Linked DNA regions of Struthio camelus. The protein of the gene in region 1 interacts with the protein of each later gene in a pairwise test. Links are inferred from orthologs where the notes say so. Each region holds a gene or a part of one and is shown on either strand. Other genes may lie near its edges.

The links.
Region 2: the proteins of TFIP11 (region 1) and RRP7A interact in binary tests that used the Homo sapiens proteins (3 or more experiments, as listed by UniProt). The link is inferred for Struthio camelus from reciprocal best matches to the Homo sapiens genes TFIP11 and RRP7A.

What each region holds. Positions count from the first base shown.
Region 1 is NC_090958.1:19,920,429-19,930,917, forward strand, and holds the start of TFIP11 (tuftelin-interacting protein 11), read right to left. Parts: upstream 4,090-10,489; 5' UTR 4,001-4,089; coding exon 3,804-4,000; intron 3,518-3,803; coding exon 3,364-3,517; intron 2,707-3,363; coding exon 2,550-2,706; intron 2,101-2,549; coding exon 1,973-2,100; intron 1,459-1,972; coding exon 1,306-1,458; intron 503-1,305; coding exon 1-502. Other genes in the region: TPST2 (protein-tyrosine sulfotransferase 2), read right to left, coding at 5,770-5,799, 6,716-6,766, 8,082-8,280, 9,756-10,489. UniProt on the Homo sapiens protein: Involved in pre-mRNA splicing, specifically in spliceosome disassembly during late-stage splicing events. Intron turnover seems to proceed through reactions in two lariat-intron associated complexes termed Intron Large (IL) and Intron Small (IS).
Region 2 is NC_090942.1:56,160,878-56,170,823, reverse strand, and holds RRP7A (ribosomal RNA-processing protein 7 homolog A), read right to left. Parts: upstream 4,599-9,946; 5' UTR 4,485-4,598; coding exon 4,433-4,484; intron 4,337-4,432; coding exon 4,188-4,336; intron 3,604-4,187; coding exon 3,478-3,603; intron 3,226-3,477; coding exon 3,102-3,225; intron 2,447-3,101; coding exon 2,349-2,446; intron 1,907-2,348; coding exon 1,708-1,906; intron 1,197-1,707; coding exon 1,111-1,196; 3' UTR 627-1,110; downstream 1-626. Other genes in the region: POLDIP3 (polymerase delta-interacting protein 3), read right to left, coding at 8,757-8,931, 9,292-9,358. UniProt on the Homo sapiens protein: Nucleolar protein that is involved in ribosomal RNA (rRNA) processing. Also plays a role in primary cilia resorption, and cell cycle progression in neurogenesis and neocortex development.

The DNA.
Region 1 (10,489 bases):
GATCCCAGTTCTTGAAGTAATCTTTCATGAGAGGATAAACTATTGCTACTGCCAAGTCCACCCTATCAGACATTCGGTACTCTTCATAGTACTTGTCTTGAAGTGTCTCAAAAATCTTTGCACACTCATCCAAGGTCAGCGGATTTTCACAACTGGGCTGCATCCGCCTCTCGCACTCTTCCACCATCTCCAGGACTTTGCTGAGATTGCTAATTGCCGTCTCCTCATGAGAGAGGACTTCAGACATCTTCTGTATCTCATGGGTCAGGTTGACCACCATGTCTCTCTCATACTGCAGCTGCCGGTCATTCTGGATGATCTCTTGCTCTGTGATGTCAATGAGAAGTTGTAAGTTGTGCTCCAGCTCAGGCAAGGCAAATCCCTGGGGCTTAGAGTCTTTGCCCAGTGGCTGCTGAGGACTGTCATCAGGAATATTGTGCTTGTGGCTAATTTGACTGTAGCTGTAATAAACCTTTTGTTCACGGCCCGTCATATCTATAACCTTACAACAAACAAGAACAAGCATGTCCTTAAAAAAAAAAAAAAATCTTATTTCATGCTTAAATTGAAAATTTGGATTTCTGAGATTTCTGAGTACCTTAATCACTCCAGCAGGCTACTAATACAATCAGGCGTTCTGAATTATTTCTAAAGAGGCTTACTAACCACATGAAGATTTGGAATGAATGAAGAACACAACATGGAATCAGAGCTGGAAATAAGTGCAGAGAAAAGGCCTCTGAGTTTGGAGAGAAATGCCCTCTTCCTCTAACGCCACTTCTACCTTTTCACTGAGTATTTCGACAAGGAGTGATGATGCAAGTAATATACAGTTCATTATGGCACAGAAGCCTTGGGGCATTTTACAAGTTTTTAAAGACATGTAATTTTAGGTGAATAATTAAGTGCATCAAGGACAAATCTAGTTACTGTCTCTTTTAGGTGGAGGATAGTTCAGATGCACAACCATAATATGTACAGCTGGGCTTTCAGAAGTAGACGCACATTTAATTTATGATAAACGAGATACAATTAAACTTAACTCATAATGAAAGACATCTAAGCTAATCTGCCTTTTCCTGAGGTCAAAAGGTTGCTTGTGAACAAGTGCCAGGTCCCAGGTGACGCAGTAGTGTGTTAAATGACTTGGTGATAAGTCTGAGGCCTTTGATTTTCATGAGGCTGTGGACAATTCGTTCTTGTAACTGTCTTCTATTAAGGTTACCAATGGCTAAAAAGCACTCACAGTACTAACGCGGACTAATCATAACCCAAGTGATGGCATCTCTGGGAAATCAGCCTTACCTTGACTTGAGACAGCTCCTTTTGAGGCGCTGCAAGCTGTTTGCTGATCCTACCCTTGGCTTTCAATTCTTCTACTGTCTTATAGTTGTATTTGGGCTTTTTCTTGCCTCCATTAGGATCCTTTCTCCACTGACTGAGCTCTTTTTGAAACTCCTAAACAAAAACAAGCAGGAGTTGCGGGTTGCTTCTCTGTCATGACCCAAATTTGTCTCTCTAATTTTTTTTACAAAAAATTAACCAACGAAGAATGCTGTACAGCAAAACAACATGGGAAGTAGTAAAGCTGAGGGACAAATTAGCTCAGATGCTGTGGTCCGCCCAAACATGCTATTCATGACGGTAGCAATATATTTCTCCTTTTGTTAAAGAACCAAAAAACAACCAGAAAGAATGCATCCAAATGTTTCTACCATTTTAGCCAGACAAAGAGGATTTATTCTGGGGGGTTCCTAGCAAGACTACCAGAATAAAGGGAGCCAGAATTTATGAAGAGAACGTTACGTTGACAAGAAAAATACATCTAAATGAAACGGTGTTAGGTCTTTAGCTTCTTACCTAAAACTGGCCTAAACAGTTTTCTCTGACATAGAAGCTGATACCAGACCTGAATTTCATAAAATACAACATAACAATGAGAAAAGAGATATACCAGGAATCATACACATACCTCTTCAGCTTCTTCTTCTGAGTCAACAACAGGGAAGTCTTGCAAAGACTGATTGGTTCTTTCAGAGCCATATGCCCCTACAGCTCCTTTGCCTTTTCTTTGTTTGGCCTCAATTGGATTGATAATACCTGAACAGGACAGTAGTTAGATCAGAAAGGACTACAGTTTAGTTACTCAGACAGAATTGAAAGTGCTTTTCTTACAGTAACTTGAGTTATCAAATTAGCAAGAATTACTTTTTTTGAGCAGACACCGACCAAATGCAGAGCATTATTCACATTTGTATGTCAGTGCTTCTTCATTCTACTGCATAAAATAACGTCTCCTTTCATTCTGAGCTGACTACTCTTGAAATTTTATCTCCCTCCTTTTTCCTTCTTCTCCTCATACAAAATAACGAAAACAAAAAAATGGCCTATGGTACGTTAAACGCAATTGAATCTTATCATAAAAATTCAGATCATTTGCTAGAAATGTCAGAAAATGAGAATGAGGTTTTAAGCCACAGATAAAATTCAGATGAGAGATTGGATTCTTGTGAGTCAGCAAAAAACAAACAAACTTGCAATCACAGTACCTTGAGCGTTCTTCCCAAGACCTCTCCCGGGGACATAACCCATCTTCTGGAGAAGCTTCTGCCCAATTCCCTTAGTGTGTCTCTCCCAGCTTCCAAAATCCATGAAAGATTTGGCCCCTCCTACAAAGCCTTTCTGACTGGGCTTGAAATTACCACCCTATTTACAAACAACAACAAACTTTTTAAGGCAATTTAATAACCAAGCTTTGCATACGTTAACTCAAAAAGAAGGCACTCTCCTGAAAAGATTCAGCTATCACCACATGGTACTGCTGTTTCTCCGCCTCACGATGGCAGAGAGTACCACTGTTGTGTCCATTTAAGCAGCCTGCCACTTAAGAAATTTCCATATAAGCTGACAATTATTAGAGTCTGTCGCTGACTACAGCTGAAACTCCTACCTGATCTTTTCCGTATTTGATAGCTTAAAATACGGTTCGGTTTTTAATCTATAACATGCTCACGCTAATCATATTGTTCTGCGGGAATAAATCAACCTTTGGATTTTAATAACTGAAACAAGGAAATAAAACACGAGCATTCTTTTATTTTTAACCTCAACTGACCAAAATGAATATTAACGAAAAGGGCTCACAAAGGAGCAACGTTCCCAAGGACACACAACACTACATCAGTACAACTTTAAAAAATATAGAAAACATCTCCTTTAACTACGTGCACTATCAGTTCTCTAGTTTACAATTATTTCTCCGTTTCTTGAGTACTCTATTACTGGCTCAAGAACTTTGATACTATTACAGCTTAAGTTTCATAAATAGATTACATAGAACTAAAAAATTTCTGGATAACTCACTGTTTTTAACTTCTTTGGCACAAACTCTTTAGGGATTTCTTCTTGCTTAACAGGCTTTTCGTCTTCATCGGAGTCTTCCTCTGACATATCCTCAGCTGCTGACTTTTTCAGCCCAGCACTGATGAAGTTCACGGGGGCTGAGTAGTCCCTAGAACTATATATTAGAAAAAGGCTTCTGTAAGTGCTCACGGCACGAATTCTGTCCCAGCAGACCCGTGCGCGTCCCCGCGCAATCCTTGAAACAGTCCTGCTAAATCCCACCCTGAAAGGAAATCTTAACAACTCCTGGCTAACTTGGAGCATGACGTTATTGCTTTTTCTGCCAGGAAATAGCCACGCTCGCCCCTTGGGCAGAGGGACGCGGCCTGTGCGCCCAGTCTGAGCGCGGGCACCTCGGCCGGCCCCGGCCCCGGCGCCCCCGGCCCCCCCCCGGCCCGCACCGCTTGCCGCCGAAGCTGGGCCGCTCCTCGTCCGAGTCGCGCTCGGCCCACACGCCGTAGGTGGCCTCCTCCTTGCTCTGCCGGTGCCGCTGCCGGTGCGGGTTGAACTCGTTCTGGAGGTCCCAGTCCGACACCTCGAAGCTCTCCATCTCCACGCCGTCCTCCCCGTCCGTCCCGTACAGGTGCGACATCGACATGGCGCCGCCGGGCCCCGCACGGCCCCGCACCGCACCGCGCCGTGCCCCGAGCCCCGCCGCCGGGCCCCCACCGAGCCGCTCCGCTCCGCCTCGGGCCCCGCCGCCGGGTCCTCCTTCCCCCGCCTCCCCCGAGCCGCCGCCTCCCGCCTCCCGCCCCGCTCCGGTCGCTCCGGTCCCCGCCGCTGCGAAACGAGCCCCGCGGCCCAGAGCGCCACCCGGAAACGAACCCTCTCCTTCCGGGTCACGCCCCCGACCGCCGGCTGGAGCCACTCCCCCTACCATAGAGACTCTCGCGCCCGGGGCCGGGCCAAGCCGCCGTCTCGCGCGCCGGCCGCTCCTCTATGGTCTGGCGGACCGACCGTGCCGGGCCCAGGCCGCGGCCGACACCGGGGCCGGGCCTCCCCCCACCCCCCGCCCCCCAATCCCCGACACCCCCCGTCCCGCCCGGCCCCCCCGCGCCCCCCGGGACACCGGGCCCTGCCGCCCGCCCCGGCTGCCGCCTTCTCGGCCGAAGCGCTGCTCCAGCGGCGGCCGTAAACAGAGGGGCCAAGAACGAGACAGGCGGCCTCATATATTAACTCTTAAATAGATTCTGTAAATTACAAGTGAAGGAAGGGCAGGAGACTTGTACAACCAATGCTCTACAAGGTTATTAACACCTATTTCTGATTTGCAAATTAGAGAACAGCATTACAAGACACTTAAATACAGCCTTTAAAAGTTCTCAAGTAATTGAATATAAAATCTCTTTCCAATGCACGTCGAAAGTCCGATTGCAATATTTGTTTCCACAGCTTCTTTTACCACGGAGCGTTCAGAAAAGGTAGACAACCGGTATTTGAAGTGGAAAATGTTTGGCCTTTGCAAATAAATGCAAGTACATTCCTTGTATAGCAGTCATTTTGGCAATATTATTAGCAAGCAATATGCTTGGATAACAGATTTCCACTTTTGCAATTGCAAACTCTTCTTTGCTGGACAACAAAAGGCCATTTGCAGCATTCTGGAAGACAAGAAACACAGTCTTAGGGATAAGACAGACAGATTTAACACAGCAAATACATGACTAATGATTTTAAACCAGCAGCTACATAACAATTTGTTAGATAGCTATCTAAGCCCCAGCTCCAAGATAATGGGCATACATCATCCATCCTTATTCAATGCTTCTGCTTTTTTAAGCACAAGATCCTGCTTTTAAATATAAAGTAATTTTAAAAGGTTCATTTTTAGAAAATTTTCATTCACCGTTTAGCATAGATGCTACCTGAAGAGAGAGACAGAAAAGGATCCAAGATATGAACAGTTGTTTCTGCAGAAACAATCAAGGGTTGCGGTTTTGTTTTTTTTCCGAACTGACAGCACGCGTGACCGCTTTATCTTCTCTTCGGCGAGGACAGTGCCCATCCTAGCAGGCTACTGGGGGAGCTGCTCAGCACAGCTGCACGTTTCCACGCTCCGTTTCCATGTTGCCAGCAGGGATATTCAGTAATAAGCCTACCAAATGACTGATTCTGATTTTGCTGAAGTAAGCCTGTTTTCAGAGCTCAGAAAAACATTTTCTCACAGACCACCTCACAGAGTTAGCAGTATTGTTCTGAAAACCTAAAGCAACTGTGAAGGATCATTCACATAAAGAGGATGCCTGGAGCAGCCCAAATAATCAAGGGGCACAAGAATTATACAAGCAAAACACTAACTCTGGAGCAATGCAGGTAGATTTGCATGAGTCCCAAAGTACAAGCACTTACCTGGAAATCATTAATTTATTAGTGAGAAGATGATGTATTCTGAGTGACCTAGAATAACCAACAAAGTAGAAGGATCAGTTTTCTGTCACCACCTGCAACTCTGAACATTCCCAGTGTTCCAAGAAGCAAGAAAGGGAAACGTTCAGGACAGAGAAAATTGTGGCAGCTACAGATAATCAGCAGGCACGAGGCTTTGCCAAGAGCCTGCAGCGTCTCCCTGACCTCTCATTTCCCCAGAGCATCTGCAGCATGAACCACGCACACTCGCTTCACCAGCAGCTCTGTTTTCTCATTTCAAGTCTTGGCCACGCATCTTTTCTGGAGAACTGAGAAATCTTTTATTTTTTGGTCATTATGTGCAATGGCTGTTGGATTGCTCTGGATTATAAAAGACGGGTTACCAATTGTTTTCAAACATAGCACTGTAAGGAGAGCCCCGTATACTTCTGACACCTGAAAACAGTCTCACAAGTACAAGAAGGAATACTTGTAATCTCTAAATTAGATAAGCCATGCCCTCCCTAAACATGACAAGGCCCAGGACAATGAAAGCCTTGAGAGTTTAGGGTCAGACAACAAGGTGGCAAGGGTTTTAAAGTAACAGAAGAAAGCGCCCAAGTCTGATGCGTGAACGCAGAGCTCCACAGCAAGAAACCATAAGCAAGAGCAGGCCAGGAGAGGTGATGGAGATGAACAAGCAGGGTCTGAGGAGCAGAAGAGCACAGAATACCATCAAGATTTTGTAGGACAAGACAGGATATCAAAAATAAGAACGCGGAGGATGGGCGTGGTGCATAGCACAAAGGAAAGGAATACAGGATGGGCTGAAGGAGAGACCAGAGAGGGGAGCTCTCCCTGCACTTGGGCTGCCCAGCCTGCATCTGTCCATGAGAGGAAGCAAGGGACCAGGCACCCAGGATTAACCAACAGGGCCAAGCCCTGAGAAGTGGCATCAGACTCTTACCTGAAGGTGACCTTTCAAGTTGGCTGGCGTTTTATAATCTCCCTTTAAAACCTACGGAAAAGACAAAATTAGAGTGACCCCTTCTTGAACGGTGGCTGTAAAATATCAGTAACTCCACGTTATTAACTGCATGGATTGCCCCAGTGTATCCAAACCAGCAGAGCTCTCCTGATGGGCGTTTGTTCTACATCATGCTGATGCTGGGGAAATAGCTGGAGATTTCCTCCTTAGTGACTTTTTAAGCAAAGCCAGGGAATGGCATCCTGCCGGCACAGGGGCCTGACAAAAGCAGGTTCTCTGGATCCCTCCTTAACCTGGAAGGGGAGAGTATTTAGACCTTCAGCATCATGCCAGTGCTCCAAATTCATGCCGAGAAGTACTAGAAGGTCCACGTCAAAGACTCCAAGAGTCTCTTAAACCTGCTGGGGGAAGATATTCATCCAGATCATCTGTGTCCTTAAAGAGCTCTCAGCAAGCACACAGAGCAAGGAGGAACTGTCAGAGACCAGAATACTCATAGCGCAAACCAGCTCAGGGAAGTTCTGAGCTTCCAGTTTAGTGGTTTTACTTTCCTGTTGACCTATGGATCTGCTTATAGCACAGCAGGGACCAGTCCAGCCTGCAGGCGTTCCTCCACGCCCATCAGTGTGACAGAGGACATCTGGTCCAAGAGCACTGTCACTGGGTGTGCGTGCAAGGCTGGGGAGGCTGCCGAGTCCAGCCGCAGTCCGGTCTGCTTCAAAGCGTGAGAAAAATTCCCTCCGTCTAGTAACTGCTGTCTGTGGCAGAAACATGTGTCAGTATTCTGAAAAAAATCCTTTTGGTCTTTGCTCAAATGCATTACAAGCCTCCACTCACTCGCATTCCTCCTGGGACTGTGGGGAGCGGCTGGTGAGCTACACACGGACACAGCACAACCTAACCCCTTCTCTGCGGCCAGATGGGAGCTTCTAGAGCAAACAGCTCTGCATCTAGATAACACAGTACACTTCCCATGCCTGGTACCAAGAACTGGGCTGGATCAGGGAGGGACAGGCCGGTATCTGCCACAACAGACGAAATGAACACCGCCACAAAACCATAGGGAACATCATTAGTCTGAGCCACCCTAGTCTCAAGCTACCGCATTCATCTCCGTTTTAAAGTAACCTCTGTGTACTGCATGTCCATCTATCAGTCATAGTCTCCCCAAAGGAAGAGAGCTTTTGTGTCTCCAGTGCTCTTTTTTGATTCAATTCAGCAACCTCTTCTCCTGCAGAGGGCTCTGCGGGCACAGTGCCTGCACAGGGAGGTCTCTGTTCCAGCGTCAGCCCACCCTTCCCGTAACCGCCTGGCCACGCTCCAGCCGGATGGCAGCGACACTCACCCTGTGCGTGTTGTTGACAACTAAAGGGTCCGGGTTGCCGTAGTTGGGTGGATTGGCGTACGGGTCGTAGCCGAGCCTGGCAAGCATCGGCGCTATGTGGGCCATGTCTTGCAGCACATCCCCTGGGATATGTCCGATCCATTTAGATAATGCCTCCATGTTCACAGGCTTGATAACCTGGTCTGTTGATCTTTCTATCCTGGAAGAAAATAAATAAATAAATAAATAAAAGGAAAGCAAGACAGTAAAGTTGCTGTCAGTTGGATTTCACGTGTATATTAATTGGACTCAGACAGAAAAACCTTCAGCTAGGTTAGCTACCCTCTGAATGATTTACTCTCAATGCCCAAGATGCACGTGTAGCTCAAGTGCTGTTGAGTCCACGCCAGGATCAAAGGTTCCCAAAGCGGCAGCCAGAGGCAGAGCTGTGGCCGAGCCCAGCAGCGCTGCTCTCAGGGCAGCTCCCATAAGGACAGCAGTACCTCCCTGCCCTGACGGCCCCTCTCCAGCGGGTGCCTTCAGTCCGAAACAGCCAAGCCCCAAGAGCATCGTGGGTTTACGCGAGCCGCTTGCCTTGCGACCAGGCTTGGGCACTAGGACCAACATCACCAGCTCCAAACAGGCCAGCACAAGGAGGTGCTGGTAAGGGGGGGCCCTTGCACAGTGCAGACTCTCCCTTCCCACCCTGCGCGCGGGGTGACACTCAGCCCGGGCTAAGCTGCATCTGCTCCGCGCTGAGTCAGAGGAAACCACACCCGACGAGGCATATGCAACTCTGCATGTTAGGAGGGATAAATATACACAAAGACAGCAGATCATCGGCTGAGAGAGCTTCCCAATTACTGAATCATTAAGCGTATGCAATTCCACACAGCCTATTCAGGAAGAGTGTTTTAGTGCTGACGAAAGCAGAGCCGAATAGCGCACCCCTTGGCTGCCTTGGAGAAAAAACAGCGCGAGCGCACCCACCGCTTTGGATGCATCAAGCTAATAAGGGGCAAGAGGAATTTAGGCAAAGACTGCTTGGGTGGTTCCTGTATAGGACTGATTAATTTTTGCTAAGTTAGCCTTAAGCTTCCGTCTAGAAAAATAATTCAGCACTTAACAACCACAAGAAGCTGGGTAAAGCAAGCACCTCCTGGAACACAAGAAGAGACAGAAAAAGCTAGGGAGCAGTGGGGTGCGTCTTCATGGGAGAAGATATTTCTTTTATACTGCAATACCAGCAGGAAACATAGTAAGAATTAGTGCAAACTACCAAAAGCAATTCATTAACAGCTAAACTGTAATCCCAGTCTGAACAGGTATATGAGGACAGGTGGAGAAAGAGTCATTAAAAAAAGCTCAAGTTTCTGAGCAAGCAGTTCTTCTCAAATTAGACACCAAAACCATTTCCACACTGTCAACAGCAGATGAAAAAACACTGTCACCTGCTTTTAAAATCCTTGCCTAACAAGCTGTTCTATTGGGTACAACAGATAGCTAATATTCAAGCTTGTGTTTTACTTAGAAAAACAAAAGCAACTGCAGCAAAACGGATGTGCTACCACTTCTGATCCTGAAAACTATGCCTAAACATAAGCAACAAATCTTTGCCCTCCAGTTTTGGCCCTGACCTGCTTTGTCTCATGAAAATACTCTTTGAAAAGCAGAGGCAGTAGCAGAGACACTCACTTGGAAAGAGACACTCCACCAGGCTTCCCTATCAGTTCCTCATGGTGCAGCACCGCATCACTCCAGGAAATATCTAGGAACTTCATGATGGCATGCATAGACCGCTCAGGGTGCAGGACTAGCTGCTCGTAGTAGACTGGCAGGCACCGGGCTCGCCCGATCTCCAAGCACTGGGAATACATCACCTCGATCGCTTTGTTCCACTTGGTAAGGCAGTCTCGGTAGCTGTTCAGGTCAAAGCCTGCGATTGTCACCTTCCTTGTGATCATTGAATGGACAGACGCCCGGCCATCTCGAACCATGAGGAGGAATTTGGAATTGGGAAACAGTCTGGACAGGTAGACAGAGGACTTCAAAGTGAAAGGGTCCTTGTTACATAAATACCTGGCTGGCTCGCCATGCTTGGCGATGACTTCCAGTATAAAGGCCTGCATAGCAGCGTCCAAAACTTGGTCCGTCACTCCTGCTTCGTCCAGGCGCATCTTCTCCCGCCCCGATTTGGACCAGGCCTGGCGCATCGCTAGCACACGGGGAATGATGCGGGTCTCCTCCCCACAGCGGACCTCAGGGTGGGCATCGAGCATTGCTCTCATCAGCGTTGTGCCGCTCCGTGGGACCCCGCCAACAAATATCAGAGGCATCTCCTTGCTGTAACGGTACTCGACGTGGTTGGAGTCCACCATGACGAGCTCCTCATTCTCAGGTCTCATCAGCCTGTGTCGCCTCTCGCTCAG
Region 2 (9,946 bases), on another chromosome or scaffold:
GAAGCTGCATTTACAGTCTGTTTTCTGCAGGAGGGTCAATCCATTTTAACATATCTCTGTGAACTTTATCAATGTTTCCTTCTTGCACCGATACTCACCCCTTTATCGAGGCTGCAGGCAGCGAGGTAGGTGTGTGTATAAGCCTGGGGGTAGGGGAGTTACCACTCCTTCCTTTCTGATCACAGCAGATGCAGTCATGGAGCATGATAGGGTCAATCGTTAAGGCCCAAGGCTGCCTACGTTAACGTAGGCAGTAAAATGATGCCAGGTTAAATGGAATGAGGCCTTGGAAGGAGTTTGCTTTCTCCCTCCAAAGCCAGGCTGCTATCTCACCTCGTTCACGTGAGCGTGCTGAGCAGCAGAAGCTCCCATAGCCCAGGCCAGACCTAGCTGTAAAGGTACAGACGCAGCTGTAGGGCTGGGCACTTCAAGATCTATCTAAGAAGGAGCTGCCTGGGAGGAAAATGCTGAGGGAAAGGGCAATGCTCTGCACCAAACCACTGAACTCCGCTTGGGACAGCTGATCTTGGGAACGTCCCAGCTTGGCTTTTCCCAAGCTCACGTTCCTCCTCTTCTTACCCGTTCCCAGATAACGTCAGCCTGACCTGTGCAAAGGAGAACCAGCATACAAGCTATGGGTGTTATTACCAGCACACCACACAAGGAGCTGTGTCCCAGAGCAGAGCCAGGGGGAGAGAGGCATTCCTGTGTTCTGGAAACACAGCAGTTTATTTACAGTTCTTCAGTTATTCCCTGTCCCTGCAGAGGCTGTGCTGCATGAATCCCGACTCTCACCAAGGTTTAGGAAGACCTTGGCTGGCAGGAAGATAACAGTTTGTTGCTCCAGCTCCTCTGGCCTGTGCATCCTGAAAGTGGTGCCTCAGGGCTGGACAATGGCAGCGCAGGCATGGCCAGGAGAACAGGAGATGCCGGTGTGAGTGAAGCCAACTCCCCCTCCAGTTGCAGGTGCTTGGATCTCCCACCTCAGACCCAAAGGCAGGGACAACCTGAAACTGCCTCAGTTCCTTGAAACCCTTTGGCACATGAAGTCCACGCATGCCTGTTCCTCCCTCTCCAGCACAAACATCTGAGGAAACAGTCCAGCATAGCTTAGTACGGCCGAAACTTGCGCTGGGCTCGCATCAGTGCGATTCTCTGCTTGTCCTCCTCAAACTTCTTCCTCAGCTGGGCGATGTCTGAAACCGAAAGGAGGAGGGAGAGAGCAGGTCACACAGGGGGAGCGGCAGACTTCCATCTCCCTAGGGAGCTTCATCTCCGCTGCTCTCAACAGCCCTATACACACTGGGAGGTGGTTCAGTCCTGACATGCAGAGATACACTTCCCAGAGTGGATCCTTTTGGGCCAGGGCTCGGTGCAGGGCTGTGGCTCTGGCCACTTGTCTCCTGCAGTGCTGCAGCTCCCTCTTGAGGAGGGGAACAGGTGAGTCCTCCCTTTCAATTGCTGCATCTGTGCTGACTGAAGAAACCCCTATTAGAAAGCCGCATTCTTCCAACTCTGCCACAAAACTTTCAAACAGCCCCTGCTAGGCCAGGGAGCGGCATGGGGCCCACAAGAACTGGAGAGGCTGTTCACACAACAGCACAGCAACTGGTCGCCTACAGCGACCATTGAAGGAAAACTGGTGCTCTTAGGGCCACATATGAAGGACAAGAGCCATGGGAAGGGGGAGGAGACTGAGGCACTCACGCTCTCTCTTGGTCTCACGATGCTGCCAGGCATAGAAGTTGAGCAGCTCTTTGCGGGCCCTTTTCCGCCTCTCCCTCTCCAGCAGACGCAGGTTGGCAGCCTCTGTCCGGGGCAGGCCAGGCTTCCGGCCCTTCCGCGTTACCTTCACCCAGCCCTCCTCATCCGGAACGCCCTCCTCCTCAGCTGCTTTAGCTTCTTCCTATAAATACAGGACAGAGAGGCTCAGTGCAAATCTGCTGTCAGCCAGACAGATGCTTAGCTCCCTCACGGCTCCCCTTACACGCATGCACAGCTGCAGCTCCTGCTTCTGCACAAGATTTGAAGGAGAGCACAAGACAGAGGACCGGGCACCGAGCATAAGACTAGGCATTCAAGTCTCAGTCGCAACACTGCATGCCAGACAGGACCCAATGTATTTGTGGGTACCTGCTGTAAGCCCTGGGTGGAAGGGTCAGCTGTCACAAAGCAAACTAGGACCTGGTCTCCAGACACCATCCACCAGCAACTAGGAATAAACAACCCTGCCAGCCAGTGTGCCCCCCCCTCGTGCAATTTCCAGTAGGGCCTGGGCGGTGAGACCCTCCGTCTTCCTTTCACCCCCTAGACTGCTTTGCTGGGTCCCTTCCCCAGCCTGGCCTTACCTCTGCTATCTGTTTGTCATAGTCTTGCATGAAGGCATCCACCTCAGCTTTCAGTTCTTCCCGATCCACCACTGAAGCTGCGTAGCTGGCAATCCACTCTGAAACAGAGAAGGCAGAAGTCAGCAGTAGCTTCTGTTAGAAGCAAGCCCTAGTGTGATGTCTTTGAGCAGCTCTAGAGAAAACGGCTTATTGGGGCCGTTCCCATTTTCCATCCATCCTCAGCCTCCCCACCACATTGGTTCACAAACAACTGACCTGTGGACCAGGCCATGGCCAGTAAAGGGTTAAACAATGAGAAGGGCAACCGTGCTTGCAACCGTCCCCAAGCAAGACTGGGGTATCCTCAAGTGCAAAATTCAGGGCTGCGTTCCTGCAGAGGGGTCACGTCCAAAGTCCTGTCGTCTTGATAAACACCTTGTGCCTGTTAATGAGCCTGGCTCCCATTCCGGGGGCAAGCCACAGCCAGTTTTTCTATACAATACTGAAGAGATAGGGGGAGAAACTGCCCTTCCATCATATCAAGTAAGCACTTCCTCCCACAGGGGAACAGGACCAGATTCCACAACTTTCAGTAGAATAAGATGGCTATCTTAAAGAGTAAAAAAAGGACAACAAAACACTGGACGCCTCCCAGCTCAGTCTCAGTACAAAGTGGTGGGAATTAATTCGGGATACGTAGTACAGGATTCACTAAGGAACAGGTGTAGCTTTGCCCTGCTCCGGTTAACAGGGAGATAGCTAGGACTGACTTACTGCTGATGCCCGTTTTCACAGGATGACTCTCTGTTGATATCAGCAGAGGACCTCCCTGCGACAGGGCCTTGGCTGCCTGGACACCAGCTGGGCTCCTGAACACCACGTATGCTACTCGGAAACCCTGAAAGAAAGGTGCCCTCAGGCCAGTCAGGTACACCTACGGAGTTGGTAACACAGTAAGGAACTACAGTACACTAAATCAATACATAAAATTAAATCAAACCACAGATTGCAGTAGAATAGCAAAAAAGATAACACACTGGCAAATCCCCCAAAATGATTTTCCCACATCTTGTGCTCCGAACAGCACCATTCCAACACTCGAGATCTCTTCCCATTCGCACCACTAAAGCATCAGTCTCTTTCCCCTTACCTTTGTGGTTTTGAGGTTGAAGAATTTGGACTTGAGTGTTTCTGTTTTCTCTCCTATTTCTGGCTTGTCACAGATATCCACAGACTGAACAGGTCCACAACTGAAGAACAGCCTAGACAGAGATTCCTTGATACAGGCGTTAAGGGAGAAAAAAATAACACAGAAAAACAAGAGTGACTTCTTTCCATGCCTTCACACCCGCAGAAAGCATTAGACGACTCTCTGACAAAACCACAGACCCCTCTGCCCACTTCTCCCAGCTGGCAGTGCACTGCCTACCAACTAGGCAGTCACATCTCTGCGGCCCATTCGGCTCGTTCAGCCCGTGCCGCCACGCTCGTCCCGGAGGAGGACCTGCCCACGGCGTGGCACGCGACCGCTGGGTTTTGGCCCGCTAGCTCACCCAGGGGAAACTTTCGGCGAGCACTGGCAGCAAAAGCGCTGGGAGCACTCCAACTGCCCTGGCTGGAAACCTGAGGGGACGCAGCCCCGGGGGGCACAAACCCCGAGGGGGAGAGAGGCCCAAGGGAGAGGGGGGGGACAGAGATCTCCAAGGGGAGAGCCTCGGGGGGGGGGGGGAAGCACCGCAGCCCCGAGACGATACCCGTGCTGTCCCACTGTCCCAACCAGCGGCCCAAACCCTGCAGCGGCCCACCCCCACCCCCCCCCCCGAGCCGGGGCAGCCCTGGTCCCCCGGCGGTCCCACTCACCCGGCTGCAATACGGGGGGACGTTGAGCACGAAGAGGGTGCGGCGGGGCGGGTGCGCGGCGCCGGTCCCGGTCCCTTCGCGCACCCGGTGCTCCTTCACCAAGAGGCAGTGAGGCGAGCGCTGCCGCGGCCCGAACTTCACCGCCAGCGCTGCGGGCAACACAGCGGTTAGAGACCCCCCTCCCCTATCTTCGGCTCGGCCCGGCCCGCCGCCCCCTGCCCCGCGAGGCCCCGCGCCGCCCTCACCCGTGTACCCCGCCGGCGCCTCTCCAGGCACACGCTCCGCGGCGGCCGCCATCTTAGCTCCGCGGGAAGTGCCGGGCCGCGAGGGCCGCCGGGAGCTGTAGTCCCCCCAACCCTCCCCCGCGCGCCCTCGCCGTGTCGCTAATGGCGGCGGGTGGCGCCCGACCGTTAGCTCGCCTCCCGCCGCCGCGCTGGCGGAGAGGAGGGGCAGCGGGAGGTGTCTCTGTGTGTGTGTGTGTGTGTGTGTGTGTGTTGGGGGGGGGGGGGAAGGTTAAAGCACCGCGGAGGCAAGCTCGGATACCGGCCTGCCCACGCGTCCTTCTTACAGGCGTTTGTGAAGCCCGCGCCTCAAGGGCGAGCGCGCCTCCTCGGTGCATCTGCGAGTCCGGGCAGTTTGTTTTACAAGCGTAGCCGGGGCCTGTAGCAGCCATCCAGGCTCTGGCCCACTCCTGCTGTCCGGCTTCTGGCTCTAAAATATGGTTTCGATCAAGCTGCTTCCACTTGAAGCGAGCGTGGCAGAAGAGCCCCATCTCCCGCTGCAACTATACAGCCGGTGGATGCAACTTCTGCTCTCGCCGCGCACGACCAACTCACTAAGAGGCGCTTTTAAATGACAAAATACGGCTGAGGGCAGATGGAAGAGGTGGTGGCTTACAGGAGAAAGATATAGGAGGACACCCCCCCCGACAGAAAATCTGCCAAGTTAAGTGCACGAGGCCGAGCGACAAGCAGATAGATCACTTAAACCTCTCCCTAAAGCACGTGCTACGGGCCCAACAACCTCTCAGGACACTGTAAGCCAAAGCACAAGCAATTCCTCGGCACCTTGAAGACGAGTCTTTTAAAGGGAAGGCTCTTTTAAGATAAGTCAAAATCTGATTTGCTAGGGAAGACATCATTACACCCATGGGAAATAACTGAGACAGGTAGAAGGTGGCTTTAGCCAGAGCAAGCAAGGTGGATGTTCAGGTAGGTTATGTTGCCCAATGACCTGGTGATACAGACAGATTTCTGCATTCACAAGCGCCTCTGGAAATTCTTGGCTAAGGAACATGGAAATATCTGTTAAGGTGAGTTGCACCTGGATAAGGCCTCTGCAGCACAGTATGTTCTGTAAGGAAGCTTATTACACCCAGTCATTTAGTTAAACTAGAATTCTGAAAATGAAGACCTTAACAGTGAGAACACAACGTAAAAAGCAGCAAGTTTGCTTAATTCTAGAGAGGCAAATAAAAGAAGAAATGCTTCAGATGTGTAAAAACATTCAAAGACAACTATAGGAGTAACTACTCTCAAAGGCTCTTGTTAATCAGGGGAAGCAGCAGAGACCCCTACAGAGAAAGTTATATTTATGACTGCATAGAACAAGAAGGACCACTCCAAAAATAAAAGAAGATATTGAAGCAAGACATATGTACAAGGTGAACAAAAGCTAGTGAAAGCGAGTAAGAAATGATATGGTGACTTGACACAGAATAGATATCCAAGTTAAGGAACGTGATCGGGAGGAATGGCAAACGCAGAACCTGTAAACATATACCAGGCAAACCTGCAAATTGTAGCATCATATTAGGAATCAGCAAGTTTTTGAAAAAGCCAAGGAAAAAGAGAAACACTGTTACAAATGACTTACCACCTGTTCTGGACAACCCTTTTGAATTAGTGCTGGCAGTGTGTTTTGTATGCAAATTTATGATCTCAGATAACCCCTAAACATTTAAAAACCAACCAACCAACACAAATATAACTATGCTGAGTTAAGGCAAATGTGCACAGGTGTTAGGTCAGAAGGTGGTAGGTGAGCTCAGCAGGAGGCTAACAAGACTTAGCATGAGTATTTCAGGCCAGTGAGATGAAACCAGAGCTGCAAGGCAAAGCGCTTGAAAAAGCCTGGGAATTACTAGAATGTTATTCTTCTTTCAGTGCCTACTGAAACAGGAAATCACACTAGGAAGAATTAGCTAAGAAAACTTAATCTAAGAGACCAAACCAACTTTAGACTGCAAGACTGTCTAGGGTGGTATTTAGACAATCATTGACTTCAATGATAAAAAAAAAATAGAAGGATTTACTACACAGATCACAGAGCTAGAGAACAGAGCAGTAGTTCTTCAAGGAAGTATGTTAATGTCATCATAGTTTATCACAGATAATCTAAGCGCTATGTCCAACTTAACAGCAAATTACAATTCTATTTGTTTTTTGGAATGGATGTGAATGTACTAATGAAAGCGTATGACCAAATCATTCTTTCAGAAGAAAAAAAAATACGCAGCCACAATACATGTCTTCATATTTTCATACTCTTTGATCTAGTTGATAAAGTATCCTGCTTCCCCAAGAACAGATATCTTAATTTCACAGCTCCACTCTTTTTTTCTGGAGTTATCTTTTAAACCCACTAGGCTGTCTGTAACAAGGACCACTGTTTCCCTTTTTTGTGACATCAATGGAATTGGAACTAACTGTGGACGCAAATTGCTCCCACTTTAACAGCAACACTCTCTGTATAACAAACGTTTATTCAGAAACAGGTAATACATTATTTTCTCCAGCCCCTAACATTTCCTCCCCCTCCCCCCGACTCTTATTAAAACACAGGTGTTTGATGGGCAGTCTAAAAAAGGGGAACAATAGCTGTCTTAAGTCCCCTCCCCTACAAACATCTGCAGTTCACAAGAAGCACTCTACCAATAACAGCATGGTTAGTTTCCAAACCAGAGAGTACTCTGTGAAAAAACAAGTCCTGCCAAGTCCTCAGTTATTTCCATGGCTAAAAGGGATATAGCGAAATAGAGGAATGCTTTGCACCTGCTAGATAGAGCAAAGAGTTTGTACAGAACAAGAAAGCAAAAGAAACGTAAGGTTGACCAAGAAATGGGAGTCCAGGCCTACAATGGTTTACTTCACTAAAGTTCAGCAGTGCCGAACAGAACGGATCGGGTTACTCTCCTAGCTAGAAGGATTAAGTTCAAACCCCAACCAGATTCTGGAAGTGGCTCTTACCTTTCCTCTTATAATACAATTTCAACTAATACAAACAAAGGCAGCTACTGGGACTTCAAATATCCATGGCAATAATGGTGCACTAACAAAGGAAGTAGTCGAAGTGCCACCTAGTGGCCGGTGGCTGGTCGCAGATGCTCGCTCTGAAGGTGACTCGTTCTTGCTGCTCTGCATGGAACTTGCCGGTATCTAAACTCTTCGATGCATTCCCTAGAGCGTTAACTGCTCCCTCCACACACACCTCCCCCAAACCTCTCCTTGCAGCCACGGAGTGCAGTGATCACCCTCCACACCCATATATGGGAGCAGGCCTGCACAGCAGCCAAACATTGCCTAAATTAAACCTCAAGTGATTTTTCAGGGGCAGAAGACTGCTTCCTACATGTCTGAAAGAGGCCCCAGCTCCTTCCTTTTCATAAAGGGAGACTGGGTAAGTTAGAAGCTAAGAAAGCACTTCATGTCCCTATCCAGAAACCAGGAGGATGCAATACTGTCTAATAGGAGTGAAGCACTTGGATTTTATCTAGTTCTGAACACAATCCTGGTTCTTGTTTTTTAAGTTCAGAAGTAGGGAGAGAGCAACTCAGCCTGACTATACAGGGCAAGTGTATTCACTGCAGAAGCACCAGAGTCTTTCTCCACCTCTGTCCCTTACCAGAGTTAGAAACATCCCTCCCATTGCACGATGGGTGCTGCTCTTTACACACGTCCTTTCTCCCCGATGCCTCCCTTGGCTGGCATACCCACAGGGGAGCTCTGTTTTTCTTGCATCTTCTCAGTGTCACAGCTGCTGAGCAGAAAGTTATCCAACAGCCAGGCCCAAGTGGTATGCTACTGAATGCATGAGTCAGAGATGCAAGACGGTGCTTTCTGTATGGAGCCGCACCTTTATACTCAAGGTAGCAATTTTAGAAACCGTGTGTTGTCTTGCCTGCTGATAATCAAAGGGATACACCTTTTAGTTTAAAGGTAGGTCAGGAGAGAAAAGGAGATTGCCACTCCTTCCCTCAGAGTCTATGTGCACTTTTAATGGCCACTAGGGGCTTTCGAGTAAAGGAGAGTTACATCGTATATGTGTGGTAATATATTACTGGCAGAAGGGGGAGGTTATTCTCTTGGGGAAAAAAAATCATGGAAGAAAACTCCAACTATGAAAACAGAAAATACACACACAAGAGGAAACACTATTGTACAGTAAGGTAGCGATCATAGAAAACAAAAAAACTTCCAGACAGGCAAATGCAAATAACATCTGCACTCCTGCACTTTTCTCATTCTCTGACTTGAGTGAGTTTTCCAGTCCACCACTTGCTCCCCCTTCTCAGAGTTTGATTTTAAATTCTGTGGGCTGCACAGAGGCAGAGACCCCTGAGGATTTGAAGAGTGCCTTCAAGATGGTGTCAGGGTCCACCTCAGCAGGGGGATTTGAGGAGGCGCTTGCACTTGACCGGCGTGGTTCTCCTTCCTTCTTCACTGAAGGGGTATCACTCAGTCGGCTGGAGAATTAAACAAAGAACCCACAAATAGTATTAAACCTCACATTATCAAATACATTTTACCCAATATCTGCACTGCTCAATATCCTCTCTTCTCAGCATTGGACATAGCAGTTTAAAATGTGCTTTCAGACAAGAACACTTCCTGATCGCAGACTTGCTTTGAATCCCCAGGGCTGGCCAACACTATGGAAGCAAGCTATTTTGCAGTCAGCTCAACACAGAGAGCTTCCAGAAAGGAAGAGAAAGAGGATATTAATGGGAAAACAGTTTACCAACATATTTTCCTCCTTCCTCATAGGTTCTCCTCAAAACAGAACCTGCAAACTCTTTTGGTTCTTTCCCTCAGTGGGCACTTACAGCAATATAGGCTGGTCTGAGGTGATGACATTCCCATTCATATGAAGATTGCATTTCATCGGTTGACCTAAACAAAATACAACAACAAAAAAAAATCTGTATCTCAGAATCACAGTCAGGCAAGGCTCCTAAAACATCACACAACAGTGCAAGCAATAGTAGAGCTCCACATTCTGGGGAAACCAGGAGAAAGAGCAGCTGATGCATCTTCTGTTGCAAGATCATAGCACTTCTAAGCAACTGAAGTGTAACTGAAACACTCAGGAGAAATATGAAATTTGAAGTTACATATAGGTAGACAACCCTTAGCACAGGCAGAGATTCTCCCATTCTGAGCTGTTTGCTCCTCATCTGATATTAGTGGTGATACTCATCCAGGGAAAGAAACATCTATTTTCAGCTAGAAAACTTACACTTGTTAAAGTTGCATCAGGCCTCTCACAAGGGTAAAAGATAAGCTAGAAGTTAGCAGCTAATTTCAGCCTGTGACAACATGCAGATAGATCCTGATCAAAAACTGCATTGTTCAAAGTCTGTAGAGAAGCTGATACTGTTTTACAGGTCTGATTCAGAATGTCTTTGCCAGGCCCCCAAGACCTCTATAAATACTAGTTTTACTTGTGCTGTGCAGTTACTCTGTAAGCATTCAGTGCCT